Caenorhabditis elegans: one gene and its partner. The protein of the gene in region 2 purifies or fractionates together with the protein of the main gene of each other region. This does not show direct contact. Each region holds a gene or a part of one and is shown on either strand. Other genes may lie near its edges.

Evidence for each region.
Region 1: the proteins of sdc-1 (region 2) and dpy-27 fractionate together in Caenorhabditis elegans (co-fractionation; one large-scale study listed by BioGRID). This does not show direct contact.

The regions. Positions count from the first base shown.
Region 1 is NC_003281.10:3,813,410-3,821,399, forward strand, and holds dpy-27 (Chromosome condensation protein dpy-27), read right to left. Parts: upstream 6,271-7,990; 5' UTR 6,269-6,270; coding exon 5,843-6,268; intron 5,794-5,842; coding exon 5,692-5,793; intron 5,610-5,691; coding exon 5,251-5,609; intron 5,067-5,250; coding exon 4,311-5,066; intron 4,248-4,310; coding exon 4,010-4,247; intron 3,804-4,009; coding exon 3,595-3,803; intron 3,547-3,594; coding exon 3,096-3,546; intron 2,965-3,095; coding exon 2,527-2,964; intron 2,208-2,526; coding exon 1,930-2,207; intron 1,863-1,929; coding exon 1,514-1,862; intron 1,410-1,513; coding exon 869-1,409; intron 763-868; coding exon 500-762; 3' UTR 235-499; downstream 1-234. UniProt on the Caenorhabditis elegans protein: Central component of the condensin I-like dosage compensation complex that associates specifically with hermaphrodite X chromosomes to reduce their gene transcription throughout development.
Region 2 is NC_003284.9:16,273,946-16,281,888, forward strand, and holds the start of sdc-1 (C2H2-type domain-containing protein), read left to right. Parts: upstream 1-1,817; 5' UTR 1,818-1,827; coding exon 1,828-1,901; intron 1,902-2,062; coding exon 2,063-2,295; intron 2,296-2,738; coding exon 2,739-2,974; intron 2,975-3,015; coding exon 3,016-3,311; intron 3,312-3,364; coding exon 3,365-3,695; intron 3,696-3,921; coding exon 3,922-4,104; intron 4,105-4,292; coding exon 4,293-4,531; intron 4,532-4,688; coding exon 4,689-5,074; intron 5,075-5,206; coding exon 5,207-5,340; intron 5,341-6,082; coding exon 6,083-6,145; intron 6,146-6,243; coding exon 6,244-6,483; intron 6,484-6,711; coding exon 6,712-7,587; intron 7,588-7,943. UniProt on the Caenorhabditis elegans protein: Embryonic transcription factor regulating downstream genes involved specifically in the sex determination and dosage compensation pathways, or regulating other genes involved in the coordinate control of both processes.

The DNA of each region.
Region 1 (7,990 bases), on a different chromosome or scaffold from region 2:
TTCAAAAAATTTGTTAAGGTCTACCAAAAAGGATTAAAATAACTATGTATATATCAAAATAAAAGATCCTGTTTTTTAACAGATTGTCCAAAATTTTTAGTCAAATTTTTAGCAGCTTTCGAAATTTTAGGAAATTTTCTTTGTTAGGAAATTATTTTTTGATGGCATTATTTTTTTTAGGAAAAACTTTGCAATGTAGTTCTAAAATAAAAATGAAATAATTATTTTTGTGAATCGTGAATCGAAAATTTACCTTGTCAGCGAATTAAGAAAATGAGATAGATTGGACAGTACGTGATGCAAAGATATAGGGGTTTCACAAAATATACAACAAAATGGAAATATATTAAAAAGGGAAATAATTAAAATCACAAGGAAAAATTAAGCTAGACGAATATTAAAAAATACAAGCTTGAAAGAAAGTTGGTCTCATTTTTTGGATTTTTCACAAAGTTTTCTTTTTTTTTTCAAAATTTAGTTTAAAATATATTACTTCAATTTAATGTCTGCTTCTTCGCACACGGCGTTGAACGACAATTGGTGGTGGAGATGGAGTTGCTTCTTCGATCAATTCATCCTCTTCATCTTCCTCTTCAACTTGACGACGCGGACGTCTTCTTACTGGCTCATCGTCTTCATCTGAATCCTCAACACTTAATTCACGACGAGTTGCGGGTGGGAATCTATTAAATTCAGGAAGATCACTGTCATCATCGAGACCAAAGTCCGAGAGTTTCAGCATTTCCAGCCGGCGTTGTTTACCTGAAAATTGGTATTTGTTGAGATGGGTTTAAGTTGGACTGGTTGCTACTTTGATTTGGTATTTTACAATTAAAGTGCAGTTGATATGTCACTAATTATTACTTACGTTTTGGTGCAATAACGACATTGCTGAGCCCATTACTCAAATCAATTTCCGGTTCAATCTCGGCACGTCGTAGCTTCTCGCGCCGTTTGATCTCCTCCTCGAAAATCTTCAAAATCGGACGATTCTTGATCTCCACCGCGATCGGATCCACCATAATGTTATAAGTTTTTCCATCGATTTTATAGATACCAAGCAAGCGATTTCCGACCTCGAACATTTGATTTCGAAGCGAAATTATGATAAATTGAGCGTTCCGTGTTCGCTCGGAATGCTTGATATAGTTTGCAATCAGGCTGACATTGTTCAAGTCCAGTGCCGCATCGATTTCATCCATCACGTAGAGGGGTGTTGGACGGTAGTGGTGCATTGCAAAGACAAAGCATAAAGAGGCCAGAGTCTTCTCTCCGCCAGATAGATTCTCGATGAGCTTCCAGGATTTCTTGGCGGGACGTACACTGAACTTTATTCCACCATCGAAGGGATCGGTAGATTTTCCTTCTTCCACAAACTTCAAACTAGCATCTCCGCCATTGGTGATAAGCTGTAAGCAAATAACTTGTTTCTTTTAATCTCATTTAAAGCAATGGGTCTGACAGAAAAAATGCTTCCTGTCAGCCTGGTAGCAGGCAAGTACCCCTTACTCACCTGGTAAAGCATTTGGGTAGTAGTACCCAAGAATGCGAGCGCCTCGCTGAACTCGTTGAATCTCGCCATTCTCAACTCGTTGAGCTTCTCACGATGAGCCTTCAGCTTATCGCTAAACTTCTTCGCTGACGTCACCTCGTTCATGAGAAGCGACACAATCATCGCATAATCCCGAACACCTTTATTATCAAATTCCCGCCGGAACTTGTCAACATCTTTTTCCAGCTTGCAAATCTTGTTAGCAGTGTCCTCGAAAACATCGTCCTCAAGCATTCTCGCTTCGTGCTCTTCGTAAGCTTCACGGTGAGGTTCGATCATACTGATGCATTCATATGGGAGTACAACGTGCCTAAAAACTCAGTGATTATAAATTTGAATTTGCACATGGAAAATCTCCCAAAGCTTCTGAAACGTACCCATCAGTCATTTTGGCCGCAATATCTGGATCATTATATCTGACAAATTTGCCAGGTGGATAGAGCTTTTCCGGTTGCATCCATGCAGATTCAATAATATCAAGTTCTGCATTATCCGCCATTGTCTTGTTTTCCAAGTCATCAATGATTCTCATCAGTTCATCATAAGTCTGTTTGACCATGTTGTAGTTGTCAACTGTGGTTTGATAGGCTGCATCTGCTTCTCGGCGTGCCGCAACCGCTTCAGTGTACCTGGCTCTTTGTGCATCAATGCTGGCCTGGAAGATTAAAAATTAGAAAATAGTAAAGCTTGAATTGGTAAATTCTGAATAGCTCGAAAATGGCGAACTTCATAAGGAGACTGCTTAAAAAAGCGCAAAAATTGTTTGAATAGTGGTTTAAAATTTTGAAAAAAAATCGAAAATGTTTACTAGAACTAAGGGAGCAAGGTTGGAAACACCAAGCTAAAGCCTAAGCCTAAAAAAAGCCTAAGTTGGAGCTCAAGCCAGAACCTAAGCCTGGACCTAAGCTTGAACTGAAGTCGAAGCCTAAACATAAGCCTAACCAGAATCCTAGTCCTATAGAAATTAAACATACCGTTGAAGTTTGCAATTGCGCATTGATAATATCAATTCCCTTTACATCCTCTCCAACTTCCAATTGAGCCAATGCATCTGCCTCGCTACGTTTCTCCAGACACATATGCTCCAGCTCACTAAGCTTCTTCTCGGCCTGCTCCAAATGTGATGGATTGTTCTCAATAATTGCAGTTTGTCGTGCAATGTCCTGCTCCAGCTGTCCCATTCGATCCTTCGCCTGCTCAATTGAGTCCTTATTTTTTTGGACCAACTCCATAAACATTCGGTCCATTTTCCGTTTGTATTGCTCAATTTGCTGCTTGATTTTTGCTGAAGACTTTTGGCTCTCCTCCACTTGACGTTTCAGATCTGCAATTTGAGCTCTCTTCTCGTCCAAATCCTCAACGGTCACTTCTCTATAGTTAACCATACGGCGCTCATGTGCTGCGATTGAGCTCTGGAAATAATTAAAAAATTAGAATGGAAATTTTGAATAAAATCTAGTTTTTTTTTCGATATATCCATTTTCAAGAAAATCGGAACAGCGAAAATTTCTGTGTTTCAGTAAGAGACGCAAAAATAAATCACCTTTAACTCGGCAATCCGTGTTTTCTGCTCCTTGGTGGACATAATCAATTCACGCTTACGAATCTCGAGCTGTTTGATAATCGGACCATTGTCGGCTCGGATCTCTTCTTGCTTTAACTGCAACTTCAAATGAGCTTCCAGTGCGTGATTGTGCTTCTCCTGTGCGGCTCTTAGCTTGCTCAAATCAACTTTTTTGACTCCACTCATGTTTGGATTATTATCATTTCGAATACGACCAGTCGTCGGTTTTCCACCACCAGTCAATGCTCCACTTCGGTTCAAAATTGAGCCATTCAGTGTGCAATAACGATGCCTTCCAGGATACTTCTTATCAATTCGAGTTGCTTCTTCAAGACTGTCAACAACCAGAATGTCATGGATCAAGAAATAGAATTCGCGGCGAATCTCAGGGTTTACACAGTGAATCTTATCGAAAAGTCGTTCGGCTGGGCTGAAAATAAGAATTAATTAGATTTGGCAACTAAAGGCAACTACCAACAATTTCATTGTAGAATCCATTCCGCTAGTATCAGTATCTTTCAAGTGATCCAAGAAGACAAACGTCGTACGAGGAAGTTTGTACTCGTGGCAGAAGCCAATTCCGATTCTACATTCATCGCTAGTTTGCACAACGTGGTAATCCAATTGTGCAAAGAACACTGTTGAAATTGCGGTGTCGAACTTGATTGGGATACTTGCCAAATCTCCCTGTAAGACAATTAATTTTAAATTGGTCCTCGAAAAAAAATCAATTCGAAATCAGACTAAACGTGTGGCTTCTGAATTTGAAAGATCCTATTTAAAATGTATTTCTCCCAGAAAAATCATACTTACATGGAACATCAGATTACCCCAGGATGCTCACAGCTAATCAAATTTCAAAGCAGGTACTCACTCCCAATCGAATAACTTACCAAGCGACCTTTGAAGCCCGGAAATAATCCAGCCTCTTTCAGTTCATGAAGCTTTGCGGTTGCCTGATGACGGTACGTAACTTCCTGGGTGTTCGATGCTTCAATCACTTCTTGATCCAGCTCATACTTCTTGCTTCTCAAAAGTTGTTCGGTAGACTTCAAATGCGGAAGCTTCTCGACAGCTTTGTCAAACTTCAGCTTTCTATCTTGCAGCTCAGTTGTGACGGCGTTTAGCTCACTGGAAGGATATGGGGAATTTTTAAAAGCTGGTTAAAATAAAATAAAATAAAATAAAACTTACGTATTATCTCTAATGTTCTCAGCCATCATTGTTTGCAATGTCCCTTTAAGCTCATCAACTCTCTTCTGTCCCTGCTCCATCATTATCGTCATATCCTTAAGTTCTGATTCAGAAACGTCCAATTCTGCTTTTGCTCGCATCGATTGCAGAAGCTCATCTGAGAGTTTTTTCTCCAGATCATCATGCTTCGCTCTGTCGGCACTAGACTTCTGATCATACTTGATGAGATTCTCTGTAGCTGTCCGCTGACACACATTCTCCTGCTCCTTGAGCTGATCCCATTCGAGTTGCATGTTTTGCTTAGAGATTCTCGCATTCTCTGGAGCCGTCTCAATTTCAAACTTCTCCCGACGAGCTTCATCCCGCTCCTTCATGAGCTTCCCAAGGTCCTGAGTACACGACTTGAGCCCCTGCTTTCTCTTAGCATCACGTGCATGCCAGTCATTCTTCTTCGATTGCCAATCGATTCTTTTATTCTCCAGCTCAGTGACAATACTATTAAGGCTTCTCTCGTGAGTCTCCTTCTTCCGAACTTCATCCTTTGCCTCAAGCATGATATCCTTGTTCTCTTCGAGTTCTCCTGTTCGAGTGACAAGACTCATTTTGGCGTCCCTCATTGTTTCAGCATAACGGCACAAATTGTGCTTGACACGGATTCCACGAAGGTAGTTGAGATTATTGAAGGTATTCAGGTAGGCCATCCCGATAACCATTGCCTTTTCAAAGACTTTTAGGTGTCCCTCGTGGCGGCGAACACTGGAAATGGAAAGAATTTTAATTTGAAATTTTTTTAAGTTTCAGAAAATTAATATATTTCAAGTTGAAACCGCAAAGTTTTTTTGTTTTTTCCTAGTTCAATTTGAATTTCCATGCTTTATATTTTTATGTGGTACATCCGTGCCAAAATTTGTGGTATTTAATAATATTAAAATGAACTTACGAGGCTCCATATTGTGAACTTTTGTGCTCCAATAGAGAAACCCGATGCATTAGTTTGGAAATTGGTGCGACAAAACGATTGGTTCCAACAATATCCTCAATATATTCAAGCATTCCTTCTTCATTCGGATTTTTGGATGTTGGCTTCATTAGTGCAATCGCTTCAACTTCTCCTTGCAGAATCAGGAATCGATTATGGGTCATATCAATTCCAGCACGTAGGAGAAGCTCCTGGACGTCTTTTTGCGATGCATCTTTGTCATCAATACGATATTTTGAATTGTTTTCACGATTTATTGTGCGGGTGATGCAGACGCAATTATCTGTTAACACTTCATATTTATCGTAATTTTCGACAGGCTGAAAATTAATTTTGATATTGATAGTTATTAGTTTGTTTTCAATCGTGTGGATCTCAGGCCCGCTTTAATAACCTACTTACCATATCCTTCACCATCTGGAACATAATTGTTACTGAACATGATTCGTAGTTCCCTCCTGAATTGATCAATGCTGATAGCTTCTTGGTACGAATTTTTCCAGCCTGAAACAATGTATATTGTGGAATAAAAATTTCAATTTAAAAAACTCACTTTAAATCCAAACACGAATAGCAATGCATCAATAACGTTTGACTTTCCACTTCCATTTGGTCCCAGGATCATTGTCAAGTTCTTGTGAAACGGTCCGAGAATATGTTTTCCAGCATAACTTTTAAAGTTCTCAACGTAGATATTCAGAATTATCATTCGATTTCCATCCGGATCCGAGATCTGATCTTCATATTTTGGGGGAATTTGAACATTCAAAAGATCCTCTTTTTCATCATATTTCACACCGTTTTCAGCCGCTTCAAGTTCCAACATATACGCGCCTGAACTAACATCATCGAATATGTTGAGCTGTTCCATGTACTGTCGTCGGCGATCCACGTCGAGATCGACTTCAGGCATCGAGTCGGTGTCAGCATATGGTCTATCATCGTCCGAGGTTAGCGCCCGTCTTTTAAACGGCTGCATACCTGAAAAAAGGAATTAATTTTGATAAATATTAAAAGGGAGAGGGAGAGTAAGAGGTGCATAATTTTGCCAAAAAGGCAAAGCTTTGGAAATGTTTTGACAACTGGCAAACTTTCGACCCCTTCCAATCAAATTTTTTTGGTAATTATCAACTGACAAAATTTCTTTGAATGCCAATTGCCAACATTACCTAATCAAAAAATTTTGAAATATATATTTCATATTTAAAATTGAATCACACAGTTTACAAATTGATAACATTGAAAAAAGTCATCTAGAAATTTATTAATGTTATAGTATATTATATAGTTATCAGTATGATTTCACCTCAAATATTGAAAACTAAATTTTTAATGTTGGGGAAAAATTCAAATCGATAATTCAAACGAATTTTTTTTCCGGACTTTAGGAAAATCAGGGCACAGATAACATTGGAAACTATATATAAGTTTGTTAATTTTTTTAAGATTTAAGATTATGAAAGCTGCGCTAATTAATTTATTTGTCAAATTCAAAAAAAAAGTTAAGAAACGGTCACACACGAGCACACACCCATTTCATTGCGCGCGCGCAAGCGTATGTCTGTGTCTGTGTGTGCGAGCTGTTACTACTGCTGACCGAGTGTGGGGTTAGAGGCAGACGACGAAAGAGAACGAAGGTGAAAGTGGAAAAGAGCATGGAGAACGTGGAGACTGAGAGAAATGACAGACTCCGACTGCGGTCAAGACGATTCGGGTGAGAGAAAGAATAGTGGAATAAGAGACGGAGAGAATCCATAGCAATGGGTGGGTGGGTGATGAGCGGAATATTGTTGCGAAGAAGGTTGGGTGTACCAGACTAAGGAGCTGGAGAGATAAAGATTCTAATTATTTGAAAATTTGGCAAACGTTTCCCATTACTAGATGTACAAATCGATATGCTACAGATAGTCGATCAACGATCACGCTTTGGGAAAAGTATACGAGTTTTCAGCTGAAGAGGTCCCCAAAAAACCGAGAGGTTTTTATATGTATAATATTGAAAAAAAATCACTAGATTTTATTGATAAGAAGTAGTTTAACACGATGAGTGAAACTTGAAATTTTATATTAGATATGTATGTGAATCCAGATGGAAGCATGAAGGAAATGAGCCAAAAATTTTGTCAATTTATGTGTCTGTACGATCTCTATTGAACTTCGTCTATAATAGAACAAGTAGTTAAAGTCCTGATAGGCATTACTGTCTGCGATTACCCGTGTCTTGCTCCGTCAAATCCATTGCACCAGTTGATCCGGGCATCCTTAATGAAGAAGAGAATAGAAGAGAATTGAAGTCAGAAGACAAAAGTATAAAACTGACTAGTTTTAACAAGGTGTGAGAAACAAGAGACGGATGATTATTTTGTACTTCTCAGGTCGCCTAGGTAACAAGCACACTGGTACGGGCTGGCACGACTCCATCTTGTGATGGGTAGAAGAGGTGTGTGAGAGAAGAATATGAGCTGATCTCCTCTGTTGAGATGATAGATAAGCTTATAATTTGAGCAGTTAGTTGCGTGTAATTGAGGATTTCGTTTTTGATGTTGCAGCCAACAACGGGTCTTCTAATGGTGGGAAATGAGAGATCAAACAACGGATGGTCTTGTGAGCAAGAACATCTGCCAACATACGGTTCAGATGAGCATATTACAGAGTCACAAACCATGTAAACTTCTAGAAAGTCTGCAATCGAAAAAATGGA
Region 2 (7,943 bases):
TTTCATCAAATTCCCATTTTTAAACGGTTCGTCCGCGAAAGTGACTTGGTCGGTTTTCAAATATTTTCACTTTTTTATGTCCCCATGAATAGATCTTTAAGGTTTAACCGAAAAAATTGAGTTACTGGCAGCCAATTGCAAAATTTACCTCAAACCGAGGTAATTAAACCGACTCGAGTGGTGCGCTGACTGCTTTTGCGTGCAAAGCATACTGGCCCACGCTAGCCCAAATTTTGTCGGCAGCACATTTCGCATATATCCGCACTCTCACATCTTATTTTTTAAGTAATAAGGGTACTAATATGCTCTTACGTAGTGAATGGAGATTTCCTTTTGTACATAATTATGCACTGCTCCCCACTACTAAATTTTGGATGGCTCATCAAGAGATGGGCCAAAAATAATTTCAAACTCACTGAAAGTGTCTTTTCTCTATTGAGGAACACAGTATGTTGTTATTAATAAATTTGCTCACATTCTCCGAAATAAATGTGAATTTGTTTGCTTCTGTTCTTCGAAATAAAGATCAATATATAATGAGTGCTTATCACCTCCGTTGTTGTCTAGTGGTTAGGATTTATGGCTCTCACCCATAAGGCCGGGGTTCGATTCCCCGCAACAAATTTTGTATGGCTAATCGAGGGCCAAAAATAACTTCCGATTAACTGAAAGTGTCTCTTTAGGATTTGTAAAATTTTAATGTGAGTTTTTCGAAATTCAAAAGAGAACAATTTTCTAAATCAGTTGAAGGAGGACTAACGGTTCGGACAATTTTGAACGTATAGACTCAAAATGAGCTCAAATAAACGAATTTCGTAATGAAGCTTCTCAAAAAAAATTCCAAAATTTTGAACCGCCATAAAAAAGTTTTGAAAATTTTTTGAGCAGTTTCATTACAAAACTCGTTCATTTGAGCTTATTTTGGGTCCATACGTTCAAAATCATCCGAACCGTTAGTCCTCCTTTAAGGACATATCTCTATTTTAAAATTATTTATCATGTTTCTCATTAAAATCAATATGTTTTTGGGAAAAGTTCAATTTTTAAAGTCACCGAAAAATGAAAACGAACATAATTTTGGAGCCACATATGATATATGGGTCTTCGAAAAACTTTCTGTTTTAGAGTTCCTATTTTTGAACAAGAACCCATTTTGAGGTACACAGTATGCTGTAAATGTTAATTTTGCTTACATTCTCCGAAATAGATGTGAATTTGTTTTCTTCTGTTTTTTGAAATAAAAATCAATATATAATTACCGCTATATGACCGCCATAAATAGTTTTGTAAAATCATTAATAAAAATTTCATTACCAAATTTGTTCCTTTCAACAAGTATTGATTTTATACGTTCAGAATACCCCGAGATTTCCCGTTAGTCATTGTTTCATTTATTCCAGAGTTGACCTGATTGAACGCACGCAACGCACTTTTTCTCTCTCGCCACACTTTGGAAGTGAGAGACGCAGCAAGAGATGTCTTCTCTGCCGTGCAGTGTTGTCGTGAAAAGGACGACAGAAAAAAGAGTGTGTGGAGGTGAGAGGGTGGGAGGGGTGTGAGACGGTTGTCCGTAAACACTCGCGCAAAAACGCGGGAAAATTTTTCTGGAGGAGGCCGTGCTGCACAGGTAAAAACCTTTTTAATTCGATCAAAACAATTTTATAAATTTGTTCGATTGGATTTTTCACGGAGATTTTTCCGCGGTGCTTTTATTTTTTTTTTGATTTGCTGTTATTGTTTGAACTGACTTCTAAATTTTGATCTCTTTTACTTTTCGATTCTATTTCCCTTAAATGACAATTATAACTTTGGAACATTTTCAGCAGTATGTCGGATGAAGAAGATATAGATGAAAGCTTTGAAATCGAAGAGGACGGAATTTCAATCACAGATGCCAGAGGGTAAGTTGTTGTTGTTTTTTTTTTTTTTTTTTTTATTTCCTTGGTGGCTTGTCCCAATGTCCAGTAGGAAAAAAGGACATGTATCATTATAAAACTGTTTAAAAATTTTCACATTTCCAAAGCTTTCCAAGCCCTAATTAATCCAACAAATTCTTGTTTAGAAACAGTCTGAAAGCGCAACAAATTGCTGGTAAAGAACGAAATTTGGATCCAGAAGCCGATGATTTGGAGGTAGTCGTCAATTTCTACGAAGCAGGCGACGGAACATTCCAACTACAACTGCCCAAACTAACAGCTGTGAAACCAGTGGATAAAGTCAATGATGTACTGGACTTTATCAATTTTGACAAGAAAGTATGCGATGGAATCCATTCATCAATCAAATTAGTTTCACGTAAGTTTAACTGCATGGTAACTAGAATTAATTCGTATTGTTGGTTGCGGGACAGTAGTAGATTTTTGCCAAAACCAAAAATTAATTTAACCGGGTTGAAACATTTTTGAAAAATATTTTTACAAAGTTTCCAGATGTTGAGAATTGAAAAATTTACCTACGATTTTTTTTTCACAAAACCTACGATTTAAAATAATTTTTTTTAAAGCTATTTGGAGTTAGGGTGTCTCATTTCAGTGTGATCTACTTAAATCTACACACAATGCGGGAGTTGAAACGCAGAGTTCTCAACCAATTTTGCATAGTTAAGAACGTGTTGACGTCACACTTTTTGGACAAAAAATTCCCGTATTTTTTTTAGATCAAACCGTGATGGGGCAGCTTGACACTACGTGTATACATAAAATCCATTATTGGGCCTTACTTTACTATATAATTTTCAGAACGAGATCAGACGGGACCAGCACCGTTTCCGAAGCATAAGCTGACGTGCGCCCATTGCGACTGGTCGTTCGACAATGTGATGAAGCTTGTCCGTCACCGAGGTGTTCACAAGAATGTGGGAGTCTACATGTGTCAAGTGTGCCTCACACTGTTTGGACACACCTATAATCTGTTTATGCATTGGCGGACATCGTGTAGCCAGACATCGACAACTGCCACGGATATCGAGATACAAGTAAGCACAAGTTGGTATTTTGAAACTAATGAATCCCCAAGCTCCAGAAAGCAGAAACGCCGTACCTTCATCGCAATGTGCTCAATGTTTTGGGCTCACTGAACCGAGCGTCGCAATACTACTGCACTGGTGGTTATGTATTTCTGCCGTCGGATTGGTGCATCACAAATAAGGAAATTGTTATGGAAAAGGATCATATGTCGTCGTGTCATTTATGTCACCTGCCTGTACCAAATAAATTTCTCGAAGCTCACGGAAATGTGCATCGGGGGCGATTTCGAATCGATGGACGTATCTACGGCGACTACTTTTGTCATATTTGTGGAACAGTTTTCATGTAGGTTTTTCGACATTTTTTTTCAAAAAATTGAAAGAACACTGAAATTTCAGAGAACAAGATAATCTATTCAAGCATTGGCGTTTGCATTGTGAAGAGGTTATTGCCTACACACCAGTCGACCAATATCTATCAAATACGGAGCTCGCCACACTCGCTTGGCTCGTCCTTCAAACGACAATCTCACAAGCCGATATTGAATGCTTGAGGGTCAGCTCGTCGCTGATCACTGAAAAATTGGCAAAAGAGCACGCGGAGAGACACGGAATCGCCAATAGTATGCACAAGTATTATCACTTTCCACAGGAGATTTGGCCCCTCAAAACGTTTGTCAATTTGGATTTGGTTAATGATGCGATTCCGATTTCAGGAGAAAATTCATTTGTGAGCACTTTTTTTCCATTTTACTTTGAGATTTGTATTATTTTCTAGCAAAACATTATTGGCGGGTCGTTTTAGAACCTATTTTGGAGGCAGGTAGGCACGTTTTCAGGGCCTACCGAAAATAGCAGATTCTGAGCTACGTTGTACATACCTACTTGCCTACTTTCCTTTCTGCCTACCAAAATTTTTATATTTTTTTTCACTGAAATTCAATCTTTTTTTTCAGAAGATAAAAGATCCCAAACGCCCAGTGCACATAATGAACTTGCTCGCTACGGCGTGTCCGGGCTTTTACGCAACAGGAAAGACGTTCAACATGATTTGCAGTACGAAAAAATCGGAATCAGACACGAAAAAGGTGTATCGCGTCATATTGAGATATACGACAGAGGGATCCGTTATTCAATCGGTAATTTGATTTGTGCTTTTTTTCGAAAAATTTTTTTCAGATTTTTCAGCACTTTTAGCTAGACGTTTGGGTATTAGCCAGTTTTAAGAAACTTAGCAATGATCAAACTTTTAATTCAAAATTTTGAATAATGAGAAATTTATTGGAAAGCTTTATGATAATCCAAATTCACTTTTTTTTTCTTCCAGTACGATTTCACGGCTCGCTCATTCCCCAAACTCCGCGTGGACTCGGAAACGCCAGAAGGTGTTTTTAGCCATCCGCTGGCCGATTTCAATGTGGAATCGAACGAGGCGATCGTGTGTCACAAGTGTGATAGTAAAAAGTTGACAATCACGTTCTCGACGGAAGTACGGTTGAAGTATCATCTGCTTCGACATTCGGAGTCACGAAAAGACGGTTATCATTGTGCGATTTGCAAGATTATGTGAGTTTGTATTGAATAAAACAATGTTGATTAGTTTGAGAGTGAGAATTGGATTTTAAAAATCTTCACAATTTTTCTTTATTTTTTGACCACTTCCGAATTGGCTAAGTAATTCCAACAGACGGTAAACGTTTGCATAAATGAAAGTTAATTTCAGAGTATACAATCGTAGTCATGAGGAGCACTGGATCAATGATTGTATTCCGCTCCAGAAATTGTATAGAGATCAAAAGGACCGAGAGTGCTTCGACGCAGAATTTGCTGCAAAATGTGCGAGCATCATAAAAAAGCTCAGAATACGAACATTGATTCGATGGAAGGAACGAGCGAACGAGGACTGGGTGGAGACGAAGCAGACGCCTGATCGTATCGGAGAAGATTTTGCTATAAAATTCCAAGTTGGTACCACTGCTCTGAAGACGCTGATGGCCGGGCTCGAGGAGCATTATAAAAATGCTCAGGCTAGACATGAGGCGTATAAGTACAGCGAGGAAAACTTTTTGCCGCCACTTTCGACGCCGGTCGTTGTATGCTTTCATTGTGGTAAGTGGCTCACCGTAATAGGAATGAAGAAAAATACAAAAAAAAGTTATTCGATCTTTTTTGTGAAAATCTGAAAGTTTAATTCTCTTCCTCTCTCTCTTTTTTAGTTTCTCCTCAAAACACCTTTTTCAGGCACCCGCTGTCATTATACGCTACTTCACGACCACCTTGATTATTGCCACTATTGGCCGCGTAACAAACGATTAGTCAATGAAGAATTTCATAAATGGAAGAAGAACGGCTGTCGAAATACGTGGCGAGTTATGGTAAGGGAGATTATTTGTGTTCTAGATATTATTAATTTTAATGAATTTAATGAAAATGATTGAAAACAATTTTTTAAAGTGGTGGGAGAAAGGTGTATGCATTTTTTTGGTTTTGCCACAGCTTTTAATTTTTCAATTATGTGCATATGTTTGAAGGCGGTTAATATTCAAAACAGGGGTGGGCGGCAATTGCCGTTCTGCAAATTGATTTGCCGACAAATTCTGCAAATCGGCAAATTACCGGTTTTCCGATTTGCCGGAAATTTTTAATTCCGGCGATTTTCCAGTTTGCCGATTTGCAGGAAATTCTTATTTTTGCCAAATTGCCGGTTTGCCGTTTGCCGGATATCAGATTTGCCGGAAATGTTTAGAGGGATTTTTCATAAGACGGAAACACTTAAAACTGTCTTTTCGAAAATTTTTCCGTTTTTTCTATACATTTTCATAGAATTTGCTTACTTTTCAAAATAAATGTAAGAAGATCATAGGATGCGTTTAATTTTGCCATTTGAAATTGAAATTCTGAAATTTCCGAAAGAATAAGTGCGAAACCACAGTTTGCCAAAATTTTTTCGCAAATTCGACAAATCGGCAATTTGCCGATTTGCCGACGTGCCGGAAGTTTCAATTCCGGCAATTTTCCGGCGTGCCGATTTGCCGGAAAAAATTGTTTGCCGCACACCCCTGATTCAAAAGCTTAGCTCTTTTTTTGGTTAACAAACTTAAATATATATTTTTTCAGAAAAGTGTAGCTGAAGCAATGCAAATTGAAGTGCCGTTCATATCTGAGGAGCAATACTCAAAGGTACAGTTTTTGGGGAATAATTTATCAGTATAATGAACAGAAAATAAAAAAAATAGCAAAAAATTCTGAGGTTCATATTTTTCAATGATCATTTCCAGATACTCGACTACCACACCTACTTTTGCAACGACACACGCTACAAGGTTCAGGACTCAATCAACAATTGGAACGATTGCTCAACAATTCGAGACGTTGATTTGTCCGAAAAACTTTCAGTTGCTGAAATTGTGCAAAAGGGCGAGGACTCAGTGATGGCTCCAGAACCTGATATAATCAAAAATGTTTACTTTCCGTCTGCTCGTATTATTACAGATAATATGCTGTTGCGAATGACAGAGGTATAGAATTTTTTGATCATTTTTTAAAATAGTTTTTTTTAGATAGACGATACGATTTTAAATATTTTTCTAGTAACAATTGGTAAATTCTGAGATTATAGCGGAATTAAACCTTTTTTTTTAAATTTCCTAAGAAACTTTTTAAGAAGGCACACTATGAAATTTACCTATTTGGTGCCTATCTGAGTAAAATGAAACCAAAAAAATATATACATATACACATTTCAGATAAACTTGAATGATGTCGTGCAGCGAGACCCAATCACCAAAGAGGAACTAACGGGAAAATTCAAGGAAGTTCAAGACGAGCAAGACGCGATTCTGTTTGGTGACTACCGTGCTGTTTTGCGATCGAAGGGTATTATGGTCAATTCGATTTCGGATTTTGTTGCTCCTCCAGATGAGCTTGCGAAAGCAAAAGCATCCCAGGAGTCTGCTGGTCAAGAAAGTGTGGATCATAGGAATCGAAGGGAACGAGAATTTATTCAACAGTATATGGGTAAAGATCTGGCACTCGAGGCGGCCGCCCGCGAAAATGGGAGACTCGTCGAGGTTGACGAAGAGGCGGAAGATTATGAACTGACTCCGAAGGAGCTCAACGCTCGAAGACTCGTCGAACGGAATCGTCACCGAGAGATGTGCAAAACGAGGTGTGAGCATGGCGAGTATGACTATGAAAAGTTCAAGGCGAGGCAAGTGCCCATTAATCCGGCAAAAATGAAGGAGCGGAAATATCTGACTCGTGTGGTACACGAGAGCGGCCCGGATGATGATGTGTGCCCAGATGAGCCGGAGAATAACATCATCGCGTTCTCACCAAAATATGAAAATTCGCTCAGCGACTTTCGCATAAGTGCAATTGGTTTCCGCGAAAAGTATTTGGCGGACGATAAAAAGAAGAGAAATGGAATTCCGATTCGAAAAATGACTGAGGCTCAGAAAGGTGTTGCGCTAGACTACGATACGTTGATGGCGCGACACGGAGGTCGTCCCGACGTGATAATGAACCCGGCCGGAACTGTTTTTGTGGGAGGATTTGTGTTCGATCGGAAACCGACGTGCCAGGATAACATGCAGACTGTTTATGTTCTTCGTAATGGCTATGTGAGTTTGAAAAGTTTAAGTAATGTTGATTTTGTTCCCCGGTTTTTTGAGACAAAATTTGACTGTCACGAGGGACAGGCAGAGAAGTATAATAGAGAAGTGAAGAAAAGCGGAATATTGAGCCTCGATATAAGACAGTCCCTCCTAACCACGTGGTGTCAGACTGCTCCGTTGCGGTTTGACCTACAAAAAATGCGGGAACGTTTTGCCCAAAAAATGTGACGTCAGCACGTTCTGAACCATGCGAGATCAGTTGAGCCCAACTGTGCTTCTCTACTCCCGCATTTTTTGTAGATCTGCGTAGATCAATCCGAAGTGAGACGCTCTGACACCTCGTGCCTAACTATGTAGTTCTG